Elephas maximus indicus: one gene and its partner. The protein of the gene in region 2 purifies or fractionates together with the protein of the main gene of each other region. This does not show direct contact. Links are inferred from orthologs where the notes say so. Each region holds a gene or a part of one and is shown on either strand. Other genes may lie near its edges.

Region 1 (7,477 bases), on a different chromosome or scaffold from region 2:
TTCATAAATTTGTGATAATTTGTTACAGCAGCAATGGGAAACTCATATACTCTCCTACAGGAGCTGCTCGTCTCTTTGGTACATAAATTATCTTTGAAACAAAATAATTTCCAAAGGGGAATTTTAAAATGGTGTGCACCTTAGCAGCCTTAGAATTGGGATGCCATGTTATGGGTGCTGGTGGAGGATTCTTTTTAGAATAACCATTATCTGGTTATATTTGCTTGGGGATACTGACTGTATAAAGAGAAATTACTTAGTTATGTTTTGTATCAATTAAATAAATTATTTTTATTTGCCCAAAGGGAGGAAAAATAATAAATTATACTATAGGTGTTGAGTTCTGCCCCAAAAGTGGGGAAACCAATTTAGTTTTCAAAAGAACGAGGGAAAATATATGTGAACCAAATTACAGCCACACAAAAAAAAAATTGCAGCACAGTTTTTGTTTACCCAACCAAATCAAGTCATTCATTTGTCATAAAACTGGTCTTAATCTAAAAACAAATGATTGGTCTCTCCTCTATGCAGCAAAAGAGAATGAAGGAATCAAAGGCTCAAAGAAGAAACTAGTCCACAGAACTAATAGCCCTCATGAACTACAGCTTTTTCTGACCTGAGACCAGAAGAACTAAATGGTCCCTGGCTACGCTACCAACCATTGTGACCAGGAATACAATAGAAGGTCCTGGATAGAACAGGGGAAAAATGTAGAACAAAATTCAAATTCTTAAAAAAGGCTGGACCTACTGGATGGAGAGTCTAGAGGAGTCCCCCCTCCCCCAGGGGCTAAGGTACCCTTTGAAGTTGGAAATGCAGTTATTTCTGCAGGTCACTTTCAGTCAAATAGGTTGGCTTATGAAATAAACAATATCACCTGTGAGTAATGTGCTCCCTTAAACAATTAACTATATGAGACCAAACAGTCAACATTTACTGAAAAGCAAACATGAGAAGGCAAGGAGAGGAAGGGAAGTTCGATCAATGTAAACAGAATAAACAGAATGGAAATAAGGTGAATGCTGATACATTGTGAAAATTGTAACCAGTATCATGAAACAATTTGTATAAACATTGTTAAAGGAGGACCTAATTCGCTGTGTAAGCTTTCACCTAGAACACAATAAAATGTTATTAAAAAAAATCTACACAAATAATTTAACCTAATAAATTGGACTACAAAAAAAAACTGGTCTTGAATGTTTTCCTTATATTTTAACATAAGAAAAAAACTGAAAAGCAACTGGGCATTTAAATATTAAAAAAAAAAATCCAAAAACAAAAAAGGCAAATCAATTAAACCGATATTGGTAGGATGCTTAAGATCCATTTGCTAAGCAATTTATTGGAATCTAGTTGTTTTAAAAGAATTTTTATAAATGACATATTCTGTATTAAAAAACAATTCGGTCGAAGTTCTACATCAAACTCATTTGGCCCCTTTCTCTATGTTCTTATCCCCGTATAAAAAAATCGTAATTATCCAACTTTCTTTTTCCTTTCTGTATCTAAACAGATGAGGTCTCGCCTAACGTATTCCAGGACTCTAAGGCCATCACTCCGAGTCTCCAGGTTGCTGGCAAAATCTTGGAGATGCTAAATTACGAATCAAACATTCTTTTTGAAGGACTCATACTTATCTTTTACAACTATCCAGCCCCTCTAGTTTCAAGATCTCTTGCCATTTCAGGACCCCAAAATCTCAAGTTTTAAGGCATTTTTAATTTTATTCTTATATCTGTACTTTTTTTTTGCACTGTACTTTAAAGTGTGTAAAATATATATCCTTTGTAGGATAGGTTCAAGAAGGAAAGATTCACTCATGAAGTCTGACGCAGTTACTTTCCTTTGTCTTATGAAGCTTTTACAATGTGCATTTGTTTCACATATTCTCTTTTTCAGAATCAGAGATCGTTGTTGCCGCTGGGAATAAAATTAGGCTGGTAACCGCCAGCAAGAATTAACTTTTTGGCATGATATTTAGGAAGTTAGTGAAGAAAAAACACATGCAACCTTCCCTGGTCCCCCCTCCCCCTTCACACACAAGGGAGGGGGAGGAGAAAAATGGAACCTTCCAGCAGTGAAAAATTGAAAACTCTCTCCCAAGTAAAATAATCCATATCAAGTAAGTTAAAATGACAAAAATAATAGCAAATACTCTTAAGATGGTAACTAAATTGGAAATATTGTCTTAGGCAAGATCACACTAAAAAACATTTTTTTTTTTATATAGGCCTGGATGTCGTAAGATTTTTTTTACAACGAGCAGTTTCCCTACTCAGTCCTAAGTTCTTTACATGAATACATTTTCCCCCTACTCAGTTAAAATAAAAATCAACACGATATGCAGTTGTTTCTGAATAATTTCAGTCGGCATTTATTCCAACATACGTGCCAGTAGGTTTCCAGCGGAGTCCCTCCAGGAAAGAAGGTGATCAGCTTTATTCAGGGGTCTGTGAGTTTGGGGCTACATAGTCCCAGTGAACCTTACATTTCTTTAAAATCTCGCGTTTTATCTCATTCATAGATTCTGTATCTGGAATATACCTCGGTCTATACGGGTTGGTTTTTTTTTTTTTTTATATGAACACACATGTATATGTTCCCCCCGCCAGATTCTTATAGTCACACCACTCCAGAGATGTGCACCCCAAGTGCCCCCTCCTTCCCTCCGGGGCTTCCCGAGGCCCCGGGGCGTCGTCACGAGGTCTCCGACCCCAAAATCTTTTCTGAAAACGTCCCGGGAAATCGCCCCTTTTCCGAGAATCCAAACGCCACCCGGTTCCCATTCCCCTGCAACCGTCGTCCTCCCGAGCAGCCCGCCATCACCTTCTCCCGCTCGGGACCTGCTACCTACCTGGATCGGGCGGCGCCCGTAGCGGTTCGGCGCGTTAGGCTGCGCCCCCGCCCGCAGCAGCGCCCGCACCTCCCGGGCCCGGCCTCGGGCGGCCGCCGTGGCCAGCGAGTCGGCGGTGGGCTCCATGCCGCTCCCCGCGCCTCGCTCCCTTGTCCCCTCGTCCCCTTCCTCCCGCCGCCGCCTAGCGCCCGGCCCGCCCTCTCGTGACTGGCCCGCCCCTCGCTTCCCTCCGCCGGGCGGGCGGAAACCGGCTGCCCGAGCCCCCGCGCCGCGGCCCCCTGAATCGGTCTCCCCACCCCTCCGGCGGGGCCACCGCGTCTTTCCACTTCTAGGGGCGCCGATCACGTGGTGTCCTCCAAGGACACTAGAGCACGCCACGGAGGTGCCCCGAGGTCGCCCCACGCGGCGGCTGGCCGCACGGCCTTCGGCTCCCCGAGAAGCGAGACCTGCCCGGAAGCGGTCCACTCCCGGAGCACGCGGACGCCGCCGGAGCTGGGAGCCCTGCGCCCCTCCTCGCCCCCCTACCGCCCCCGTCCTCCTGTCGCCCCACCCTCACGGTGCTGTCCCCTCCCCCGATCCAACGGAAGAGCACAGGAGTCTCTAAGCGAGTTCCCTCTACTAAAGCTAAACGGAATTTCTCCCAGGTTCCTCCCTTCTCTCTACACTCTCCTAGTATTTAGATAGCTGGGCAGGGATTTCTGACTGTCAAGCTCGAACCTGAGCGTTCGATATCATAGGCAAAGTATTGCTTCCTCCCTATAGTAAGTACTCGGATGAATTGGCCAAAGCTGTCCTCTCCTCGTAATAAGGGCCTCACTGAGGATCGGTAATCCCGGTGTTGTGACTCTGAGGCGACCCTTCTTTTAGATCACCGAATCACACCTCCCTCTTCCCCAGATACTCCCTGGGTTAAGCGTTCTGAGCCTATGGTTCCAGAAAACGTACTTCAAAGATTCCTTTTTCAGAGTCTAACGGTTGCCTGCTCCCCTCTCCCCACCCACGTGGCTGGGGCGAGGGTTTCCAAGAGGTGAGCAAAGCCTCCTACTAGCGCCAGATATACGAACAGGATATGCCAGTTAGGGCTGGCTCTGAAGGTAGGGTCTATTTAACACGGACTGGAAAGAGTCCCACCTATAAGCAGATAGGAAAGTGGAGAGGAAGTCATTCGGGTGACAGACCCCATTCTTAATAAGGCGTTCCTTCTAGACCAGAGAAAGTGCTCAGCTGTCTAGAGACTGACACAGTGCATCACGGTACAGGCTCAGATACACTGTACTGGGGCCCCTCCTGGGTCTGCTTCCAGCGTCCCACACCTCTCCTTCCTCCTAGAAATACCTTGCCCTTTTCTTAGCTATAAAAAGGGGAACTTAGAGTAGTACTTACTTCACAGGGCTGTTGTGAATTTTTAATGTCCTGATTTACATATAGCATTTGGAACAGTGATACACATCCCAAGCACACAATACCTGCTAGCTATCAAATTATCCATTTGGAGGATTTGCTTGCAATCTCCTGAGGCAGAGAGAAGAAAATATTTTGGATAGAATTATCAATATTATATAAAAGAGAAGGAAGACCAAGAAGACCTTAATCACAGAAAACATGATGGTGCATCTAAGGAATTTAGTAAGCGAAAGGAAATCCAACAGAGTTCTAATTTTTCCCGTGATTATTACTTTTATGCTCTTAAAAATATATATATTACATTTAAAAATTGTATGGGTTACCTGCTGGTGCCTTGAGCACATACTGAGTCTGACTACTAGGTAACCCGGCTCTGTCTAAAAGTTAACGTTTTAATCCTTAGCTGACTTATCTTAAGCCCCAGAATACCTTGCTGTACCTTCAGTTGTTGCTAGGTCAGGCAAAATGTAGTTTTTAAATTATGCCAATTAAACATTTATTGTCAAATCTCTTATAAGAATCCATAACGTATTACTACTGTGCCTTCTATATTTTCCTCCAGGCACCTCTCAAATACTGGGCAGCAATGGTTTGAACAATTCAAACTATGGATAAGGAATCTAATATTCTTTTTAAGTTAGCTTAAGACTTTTTATGGTAAAACCTGTTGCGGTCAAGTGGATTCTGACTTATAGTGACTATGAGAACTGCCAGAATTCCCAAGGCTGTGAATCTTTACCAAAGCAGACTGCCACATCTTTGGTTAGCAGCTGAGTGATTAAGCACTGTGCCACCAGGGCTCCTTTTACATTTTATGATGGGAGGGGGGCAATATGGCTGTGATGGGAGAGATGGAACAGATTTCCCTTGTAATTATGCCTGGCTTTTAGACCAATATCAAAATTTGCTTCCATCACTAATATAATGGTTCTTAATCTTCCGTTTGAGAATCTCTTGAAAGCTACAGACATTATCCTCAAAAAAATAAATAAAGTATGCAATGAAAACCAACCAACCTCAAACCAAGTGTGTTCACTGGCAAGTATATTTCTGAATAAAACTTTCAGGGAATTCAGGTATTCATCTAAAACTCAACTATGGACTGCCACGTCAAGAATCCCTTTAGCTCTTGTGAGAAGGCAATGTATTGGAGAAGGAAGCATGAGATGGAAACACAAAAATATTTCTTGGATGAATTATATACAGACATAGAGGTTGATGCTTTGGAAATACCAACAGCAGGTTTTAGATGTGTGTTCACTAGCTCAGGCACTTGCATCGGAGCTCCTGAAAGACTGTGGCATTCTTGGGTGTGGCCCTTTTCTGGAAATTGGTCCTGTATCTATCATAAATCTGTGTAAATAAATAATAATACTGTGAAAGCTCTTCCAGTTTTTTTTTTCCTTAAAAAACCTTCCATACTCCCAGTTTACTTACTCATATCAGTTCAGACCTGAGGGGTAAAACTCCAGAAGAAATAAACTATAAAGCCAGGGATCTTGGTGCTGGTTCTGCCAGCCTCAGATTTCTTATCTGTAAAATGGGATCATGATATATTTCTTGGGTGCATGGAACAAGATGATAGATGTCAAAGAGCTTTCTAAGTTCTAAAGTTTGTTATTATTATTAACCTTACACTTACCTCTCCTCTTCCCTGAGAATGCCATGGTCTCCATTTCTGCTGTCTTGGCAGTCTTGAAAATCTATATTATGAAATTTAAACCTGTCTCAAATCTGATCAGTCTTTTAAGAAAAAAATAGAACATAAATTACTACTTATTTATTCATCCAACAAGCTCAGAGGCTAACAGTAGAGCATAGGTGGTTAAATTCAACCCTACAGTCAAATTGCCTAGATTTAAACCTAGATATTTCCACCTATTAGTTTTCTAACTGAACAAATTATTTAATGTCTTTGGTGCTCAGTATCCTCATCTCTAAAATGGGGATGATAATCATGCTTGCCTCAAATGGTGGTTGTGTGAATTAAATGGGACATAATATGTAAAGCACTTACAAGAGCAAAGGGAAGCAGAGGGTGACACAAGAAAATGAAAAGGGAGCCAAATTCATCCTGGTGGCTTAGGTGAAAGGCTTCCTGGACAGTATGAGAGCTAACCCCAACTTGAAGAAAAGCATGGGAGTGTAAAGATGGAAAGGAAAGATGGAGAAAGATGTTCCTGGCAGAGGCAAGAACAGATGCAAAGGCATAGAAGTTTAGGAAAACTGGACGTAATTCACTGGAATATACAGTGAGAAGCTGGAAAAAGAAGCTTCTGCAAAAGAAGCTGACAAGGGCTACTCAGAGTCAGAAGGAAATCCAGGAGTGAATGTGACAGCAAGGAAGTGGGGACACCTGGTGTAGACTATTCTTTCATAGTTTGGCCGTCAAAGCTCAAGGTGATATACGGTGAAGGGAAGCAGATGGAAGGTGGAAGAGACCTGAGGACACACATACAATGAAGGAACATGCCAGGTGAAGTGAAAGAACAGTTAGAAGAGACAAAAGAGAAATAGGACCTGAGGTCCTGAAAGGTATAAGAAATGGAATCCAATGCACAGGGACGTCATAAATTTGGATAAAGACAGATCTGAAGAGGGAAAAAGGGTCAAGGCAGGAAGGAAGTTGAGGTAATTCCTTCCATTAATGAGGAGGCTGGCTTGTTTGGAAAGAGTGAGGACAAGATGGTGGGTTAAGAAATTTGAGAGTCATGAAGGTTTGGAATACCTTAAGAGGAAATGACAGTGTGCCTGAGTAGGACTCAGACAGAGCCTTTTCACTGGCCCGAAGGACAGAGCTGAGTGTAGAGACCATGACACTATAGCACTAGTGTCATAGACACTACTTCATTAGAACCAAAGAAAGCCTTGCAATGGTGCTACTCCAGAACTCTATTACCAAGGAATTGTAATATGGGATGTGAACATTAATTCAACACACCACAAGAATCAGAAGGATATTTGAGGAGGTATGTTCTGAAACTAAGTTCTGGTTCTGAGGAGACTTTGACGGATTGGTCAGGTGATTCTATGATAAGCAAGATTTTTTTTTTAGGAAAATAGAAGGTGTTGGAGAAATAGCTCTGGATTGGTGTATCTAACGAAGTGTTTTTTTTTTTTTTTTTACTTTGAAACCCTTTGAGACTATTTTTAGCTTCAATGTCCATATCTTCAAATAAGCTTTATCCTGCTCTATCCTTTATAGTTCATGGAATT
Region 2 (8,009 bases):
GAGGAGGGGCTGGCCCGCCACCCTACCTACCTGTGGCACAGAGCGCCACGAAGGTCTGGGCGTGTTTTCGGATAATCTGCTTGTTCTCCTGGGCCACGGGCATCTTGGACAGGAAGTGTTCGATGAAATCGTGGGGGGTCATGGCAGCCAGGTTCCACTTGAGCTTGTTCACCAGAAGCAGCTCCATGTGCTGGGGAGATGAAGCGGGCAGAGAGACAGAGAAAGAGAGAGAGAGAAAGAGGTGCAGGGTCAGCCCTGGGGGGCCTGGGATGCCGGCCAGGAGCAGGGCAGAGGGTGGGAAGGAGGGATGTGGCCTGTTGAGGGGTTCAGGAAGTAGGGCGAGGGGGACAGACGACCCGCAATTCCGGATCAAAACAGAGAAGGTGCCGCGTGAAAAGGCCCCCGTGCTCATTGTCATTAAGCCGACTGTTCACAAGTGGAGACAAAAAGACCTCCCACCATCTGCAACCAAAGGCCTTATTAATTAGCGCGGGCGCCCTGAGCGCGCCGCCACCGCTAGAGGGCGCGCGCCGTCCACTTTTCGCCCTCGCTCCGGGGTGCAAACGTGGTCGAAAGTGGGATGTGGGGCGGCGGGCGCCGAGATGGGGGGGCGGCCCGGATAACTGCCGCCTGCTGTTCCTGGCCTCCCCCCTGCCCCGGAGCGGTGTGGCCGCCCTCCCTCAGGCCCGAGGATCTGTCAGCGTCTGGCTGGGCCTCCCCGCGACCCGCGCCCCCATCCCTGGGATCCTGTAACAAACGGGGTGCCTGGGGGCCGTGGGGGTCCCCCGGTTACCAGCAGCTCGTCGGGTCGGATGGAGTTGTCTGTGTAGATGCACAGCTTCTCGGCCGTCAGGGGGATGGTCTCCTTCATCTTGGAGGCCACGAACATGCAGGTGGCCCCCAGCAGCTGCAGGCGGCTCTTCTTCACCGGCTCCAGGGACAGGAAGCGGTCCAGATAGTTCATGGCCAGCGGGAAGACCTCCTCCTCGCACTTCTGCTCCTCGCAGACCTGCAGGGGCAGGGGGGCCGTGACCACCGCCGCTGGGGGCGCGGGACCCCCGCCCGACGTCTCCGCACGCCCACCCCGCGCGCGCCGGGGCTGCGGCGCCGGAGCGCGGGGAGGCACCGGGCAGGGGGTGGCTTGAGCCTCCGATGACGCGTCCCCACCCCCGCGCGCCCCCAGCACCCATCCACCTCCGAAACTGAAAGGGAAAGTCCCGCGCGGCTGGCACGGTGGGGGCGGGAGTGGGCACCGCGGGCAGCGGTGCGGCCGGGAGACCCCAGCCCACCTGGGGGCTCTGGGGGTCCTTCTGGCTGGGAGCCCGCACCAAATGGGCCGCGGGGCCGCGGGGCTGGACCACGGGGTTGGGCGCCGCGCTCGCCCCGCCTGCGAGACACAAAGGTGGCGTCCCAGGCCGCAGCGCCGCATTTCCCCAGACGTCATCTTTTCAAAAAATATTTAAAAATATAAAAAAAATAAGTGGGCGCACAAAAAATCCCTGAAAACGATCCCCGGACGGCCCTTTACCTAGGCCGGGGCTCTGGAGCTCACTACAGGCTCCAGGGAGCGCCCCAGGGACTGAAACTCGGGGGCACCCCTTCCCCCTGGGCGCGGGCGCCGTTTCCCTCTCGCAAGGGCACCACGCCGCACTTTCAAAAATTATTTTAAAATACTCGCGGTCCCCCCAGACGCCCACCGCAGGCCTGAAAATGTGCCCCGGACACCCGGATGACTCTGGGCAGGCCCCCCCAAGCCAAGCCCCTCGCAGACGGGGGCCAATTCCTGGTGTCTTGGGGGCCACGCGACCTTGCAGCCCGGCGTGCTCTCCGGGCCAGCTGGCGGTGCAGGGAGCCCCAGGGGTCGCTGCTTGAACAAAGGGGCCACACTTCCCAAGCGGGGTCCCCCCAGAAATGCCCACACCCTGTTCCCGCACCCCTCCCGCCTGGCTCCCGGCAGCCGGGCGGCCCCTCGCCGCGGCCCCAGCGCCTCGCCGGCCGCTCCCCGCCCCCACCCTCCCCCCAATTATTAATAAACACTTTTGCTTTGCAATAAAAGAACAAAGATGGCGCATAATACTGGCACGAGTGGCCCTTGCATACGTGTCCATGGATATTAATTTAAAAATCAAATCGATACCCCCTCCCCCCGGGGCTGGCGCCCCGGGCCGCAGCGGCCGGGAGAGGAGGCGCAGATAGGCGCGGACGCAGGCGGGGGCTGCGCGGCGGTGGCGGCCGGGAGGGGGCCACCAAAGGCGCCCCCAGCCTGCCGACCCGCACCTTTCGGCTTATTCGGGTGCCCCCGCCACTCGCTTCTCCGAAGGCACCCCTCCTCGAGCCCTCCACCCCGTAGGAAAGGGAGTTTCGAACGCCCCCACCCCCATCCCCATTTTTTCCTGGTTAAAAAAAAAAAAAAATACCCACAATATCTATTTCTTTGGAAAAGACAGATTCCTAGCAACCCTCGGCGAACTGGAAAGTTGGGGTGAGGGTGAAAGAAGGGAGAGATGAGAGGCAAAGCAATCTGGGCTTAGGCAACAAGTTGCAGAAAGTCCCCAAAGGGCGGCCCGGCGCCACGCACCTCCAGCATCCAGGTGGCCACGATCTTGCGCATGGACGGCAGTATCTCCTTCTGCACGCACTTGAAGTAGGACACCGAGGGCGCGCAGGTCTCTTCGGCCTTGAGCATGGCCTGCAGCACCCGGTCGTTGAGAAGGTTGGCATCGGGGTACGCGCGGCGGATGGTCTCCACCTCGCAGCACAGGAGCTGGTGCTCCATGCCGGCGGCTGGGCTGGGCGGCGGAGAAGGCGGTCGGCTGGGCTCAGGCTCGGGCTCCCGCTCGGTCCGCGAGCTCGGCCTCGCTCCTCCCGCTGCCCCGCGCTCTCTCGCCCTCGTCTGCCCCTCGCAGGAGCGCGCGGCCGCTGCTGCTCGCTGCTACTGCGCCGACAGCCCTCTGGAGGCTCCAGGACTTTGCAACTTCCAACAAAACTCCCCTGTAGTCCTTGTGACGTTACTGTTGTTAAGCAGAGATCAAAGCCGGGCAGAGAATGGGAGCGGGGGGGCGGGGCGGGCGCAGGGGGAGGGGGCGCGGGCCGAGAGCCGGGGAGCAGCGAGGGGCAGAGCCCAAAAGGCATCCCAGAGGCGCCGCTCCTGCCCCGCGGCGGAGTTCCCCCCGAAGCCGGGTTTTCATAGAAATGCAAATCGCCCCGCCGCGGCCTTTCTCCCCGCGGGGGAAGAGGGGTGCAGGGGGGCCCGGTTCCCTCCAAGTGGTCCCCGGGGATTTGGGGAGGGGGCGTTGCAGAAGGGGACAACGAAGAGGGCGGGCAGGCCACACGGAGCCTGGGGAGACCGCATGGAGGGGGGACGCTGGGGCTCGGCGACACCCTATATCCGAGCCGGGAGAATGGGCACATTTCCGAGAACGCCACGAGGTCACCCACGGGCGGAGGGACGGCCAAGGAAGGAATCACAGCTTCTGCCTTTTCTTTCATTTTCATTAACACGTGTAAATTTCAGGAACTGTTTAACAGGCGGGGACGCGGGGCAGAGCATAGGACCCTGGTGGCACCTTCATTCCGGCCCACGGGGGGGTCATTGGAAATGCCCGAGGGGGTAACCCTAAACGTTAAAAGGGGCTTCAGCCCAGCACAGGCTCGCTCAAAAAATAAAATAAAATAAATCCCCGAAAATTCCAGAAGCAGCCCAAGATGGTGGCCAGCATTTCCATCATCCTGTCCTGCTCGCCTGAGGGATCCGCGGACTGTCCTCCTACCTTGGCAAGTACATCCTTGCAGGGGTCCCCAAGTGTCCCCTCCCCCAGTCCCGGCATTTCAACAGCGGAAAAACACCTTGGAATGGAAGGCTGCGAAACAGAGGTCTGTCCCGCCTCACTTTTTAATTAAAAAAGAAATTAAATTGCTGGAAATATTAGCCTCCTCTCTGCCTGGGACGAGACCACCGGAAGCTTCCTACACGGTTTTGCCGGGGTTGTGAACGTCTCTTCACCTTTCGAACTTGCCCTGGGGCTGCGCTTGTGAGCGCCAGGGGGCTGGCAAGAATTAGAACAATTGAAAGTGAGAGAAATGGGTGCTTGAACAGATGATTTTAAACAAAATCTATATGTGATCGTGGTAATAGGATCGGGTCCCTAATATTAACTTAAATTTAAGAAAGACACACAAAAATATATACGGTATTTTTATTAAATGGAGATTGGCTTTTTGGTGTGTTTTTTCTTTTTTTTTTTAAATAAAAGGCTATTTTACCCATTCTTAACTTTTTTTTGTTTGTTTTTACACTACCTGTCCCCACTTTAGAAAACTGTTCATTTACGTCTCTTTGAACCTAGTTTAATGTCCTAAAAACCACCGACTCCCCTAACAGTAAAGGCGCAAAAGAAAACGGATTTTTAGATAGCCCTCCGGGTGGAAAGGGCGCACGCTGCGAATGAAGACGCCCCCCGCCAGGGGACAGGGGGGATTCCTCCCGCGCCCCATCCCCCGCCGGAATGAGGGCGGCTAATATTCCGGGTCTGGGAGGGTCACAGCCCCCGAGGCGATGGGTGACCGGGCAGGACGCGCCCACCGCCATGCGCCCTCCCCGGGTACCCACGCCCCGGCCGACCCCGGGCACGGCGTAGCCTCAGCAGCCTCCGCCGGCGCACGAGGGCGGCCAGGCAGCTTTTCATTCATAAATTCCCGACCGGGCGGCCGCCCGATGATTTATGGGGCTGCGCGCCCTCACCGGCGGCAGGGCCTCGAGGGTCCAGGGGCTCGCGCCCCGGTGTGCGCCCCGGCCCGGCCAGAGGCGCGAGTCGCCGACGTTGGCGAGGGGCAGCAGGGCATAAGGAGGATCGCCCACCCCGGCCACTCGGGCTCCGGGATCAGGAGGGAGCTGCCCCCCCACGGCGAGAAAGAGAGGAAACTGGAATTAGCATGAGCCAATGGGGGCGCGGCGCTGTTACTAGGCGGGCCGGGCAGATCTCGAGGAGGAACTTTGTTGATTTCCCGGCTCAGGGACGGGCGCAAAAGTGCAAGCCCGGCCGGCGGGCGTGTAGAGCCGTCCAGGAACCGGTGGGGGAGGCGCAGGAATTTGGGGCCCCGCGGGGAGCGCCCGGCGCCCAGCCCCCGCCGGGAGAGCCCAGCCTGGCGGCCCCCTAGCTCCCGAGGAAACCCACCGCCCGGCCCCATGAGGTTAATTGCTGCTAACAGAGCAGAAGACGCATTTTGATTTTTTTTTATTTTGCAGAGTAAAGCAACTTTTCAGCACTTTTCCGTTGCCGCTTTCATTTGGCACTGTTTGTAAAACCCACCACGCCGCCGACACTGCGCATTCCGAGCTCGTTTAAAGCGCTCCGCGTGGATTGCGTGGGACCACTTGGAGACAAAGGTCGGGTGGCCCAATTCGGAGGGAAACCGCGTTCGTGTGAAAGGAAACCCTAAGTTACTGGAACCCCCATCCCCACCTCCCTCGCCTCGGTCCCCTGGGCGGTGGCAGCGGCCGGGCGGATCGCTGGCCCGAGAGGGCGCATTCCGCTGCGGCGCGCGTTTGCCACCGTCCCTGGCTGTGGGAACCTTCATTCAAAGGGGGAAGGGAACGCGTTCATTCAGGAACCCGCGCGCCGCGGAGCCGACCCAGGTCCCACCGCGGCTGCGCGCTGCCTGAGCAGGGGGCTCTCCCGAGGGGGCTGCGGCCAGAGGGGCGACCTTCCGCTGGCGTCGCCCTACGGCACCCGCACTCCCCTCCTCCCCACGGGAGGACGGCGACCGGGCGCACCCAGGTGGGGTCACCTGCAGCCGCATACCTGGCGGCGACTTGAAAGGACTTGGCTCCAGCACCGCGAGTTTTCCATTGTTAAGCCCTTAAGTCGCACTGGAAAGCGCTTCCGAAGGCGGGCCGCGGGGTTCCGGGGGCGCTTGGGCTCCCCTGCCCCCACGCTGCTAGCTTTTGGGGCGCGCACCGAGAGCCACGTGCTCAGCAGCTCCGCAAGGGCTCCGCGGCGCCGACTGCGCGTGCCCCAAAGCTGCCCGCCCAGCGCACCCGAGCCTCGGCGCCCACTTGGGGTAGCCAGCAGCTTGGGACGGGGGCGGCCGCACCCCACGCCGCCCCCATCAGCGATCCCTTAATTTAAGCCACACACAGGCTCCCCCCGCCCCTAGACGTCCGGCGGCGGGGCTGGGACACTGCCTGCCCCTACGGACGCGGGCGAAGTGGGCGCAGGACTTAAAAACCCCAACAGTAGTGGGGCCCTGGACCCAAAGACGCTTTTGGGATTGCGAGGGAGGAGGTGCAACTCTTGAAGTTGAAAGAAGATTCTATCCCCTTGATCCTCGCCCACTCAAAACGCGTTGCCTGGTGCCCTGAGCAAAATGAACCCCAAAGTTCAGTATTTTCCGGCCTGCCGGCTCAAGCTCCCAGTGGGGAGTGGGCGCCCAGGTGTAGAAGAAAGCCTCTCCAGCCAAGGCGGAGAACTCGGGCGGGGATGGGGGCTATGACTTCAGAGGCCACGTGCCCCTGGATGTCTGAGAGGGCTTCTGCCGGTGCGAGGGCTCGCGGGGCCGCTCCAGGACCAGCGGGGCCACGGAGCCTGGGGCTGCGGCTTTGCAGGCGGCGGGACCACGCTGAGACCGTCGTCGGCTCCCACGCGCCCTGGCCCCGCGGGAGCAGGACGTCCCTCCCGCGCCCCGGGGCCTGTCACCTGCCCTCCCCCGCCCTTTCTCGAGGATCTTCCGCGGGGACGTACCCCCCGCCTTTCTAGCCGGCTTCCCCCTGTGGATCCCTCCAGAAAGCGTTTCTACGCTTCGCCTTGGCCCTGGGGGTGGGTGGGACGGCCGGGGTCTCCGGTGGGGAGACTCCGAGTTCTAGAACTCCCGATACTTGCCGGGGAGGGGGGGCGAAGAGGAGGAGGACGGAGCCTTTTTCGCAGGCTTGGGGGAATGGGGCTCAAACCTAGCTTCCGGTACCCCTTCCCCGGGGACCCTCGAACCCGAGCCGTCGGGGGCTTTGTGGAGGGACCGGGGTCGCGACTGACTAGGGGATTTAGGCGCACGGGATCCCAGGGGCCAGTTGGGCCGCGCTCCGTCCCCCAAACCCACCGGGTGCCCGCGTGTGCCCGGGGCCAGGGCCAAGGGGAGGCCCGGCTAGGGCGGGGGGCGCGCGCCCTGACCTGGGCCGGGGCTCCCAGCGGTGCGAGGACGCGCGGCACATTCCGCGGATTCTCGCCCGGCCCTAGGGCCGCGGCCACGTGGTTGCTCTGCGCTCCGCGCTTACCGTAAGGCTTCGAGAAGGCGCGCACTCAACGCTTCCCACCACTGCGGACCTCCCAGGGTGCGGAATGTGGACGCCCGGTCCGAGGCGGTGCGGAGCCAGCCCCCGGTTCCCGCCCATAGCGCTTGCTTTTCCAAGTAATAAGGAGAGTCGGGCTGCGGGCGTAATATGTTCGTTTGTAAAGACTGGCGGGTAGGAGGATGCTCAGACCCTAGGGGTGTCTGCAGTAGGGTGACTGTCCACCTGAGGGACGCGACAGAACCGGACCGGTGACCATTCCGCTTTACCAGGAGTGACAGAAGTGCAGAAGAGGCCTCGCAGCCGTCTGACAGTTTTCTTTTCTTTTTTAATCAAAATCAGTCGGTGGTTGAGTCCCATGTCCCGCGCGATTAGGAAGTGGAATCCAGGAGATGCTTACCAAAAAAAAAAAAAAAAAAAAAAAAACAGGAAGAAGCCCATAAAATAGATAACTTTTTTTTTTTTTTTTTTTAATTTTAAGTCTTGAACGGTCCTGAGTGTCAAGTCAAGATAAAAAAAGAAAAAAAAAAATGAGCTTACGGCTGCATCTCATACGGCTTCCTCTGACCCGGCTGCTTTCTGCCTCTGCTCCTCAGGGTCAGGGGTGGACTGCGATCTGTGATCCCCCAGAAGTGGACGGGTCAGTGGGACTCTGAGACGCCTCTCTCTGCCCTCCTCTCCTTGGTCAAGGACTACCCCCCACCCCGCCGCAGTCACATGGAGGCAG

What was found.
Region 1: the proteins of CCND1 (region 2) and cyclin-dependent kinase inhibitor 2A-like purify together in Homo sapiens (affinity purification with western blotting; 3 studies listed by BioGRID and IntAct, with this or other methods). This does not show direct contact. The link is inferred for Elephas maximus indicus from reciprocal best matches to the Homo sapiens genes CCND1 and CDKN2A.

What each region holds. Positions count from the first base shown.
Region 1 is NC_064827.1:31,844,029-31,851,505, forward strand, and holds the start of cyclin-dependent kinase inhibitor 2A-like, read right to left. Parts: upstream 3,009-7,477; 5' UTR 2,984-3,008; coding exon 2,858-2,983; intron 1-2,857. UniProt on the Homo sapiens protein: Acts as a negative regulator of the proliferation of normal cells by interacting strongly with CDK4 and CDK6. This inhibits their ability to interact with cyclins D and to phosphorylate the retinoblastoma protein.
Region 2 is NC_064825.1:132,455,665-132,463,673, reverse strand, and holds the start of CCND1 (G1/S-specific cyclin-D1), read right to left. Parts: upstream 3,018-8,009; 5' UTR 2,777-3,017; coding exon 2,579-2,776; intron 1,010-2,578; coding exon 794-1,009; intron 191-793; coding exon 31-190; intron 1-30. UniProt on the Homo sapiens protein: Regulatory component of the cyclin D1-CDK4 (DC) complex that phosphorylates and inhibits members of the retinoblastoma (RB) protein family including RB1 and regulates the cell-cycle during G(1)/S transition.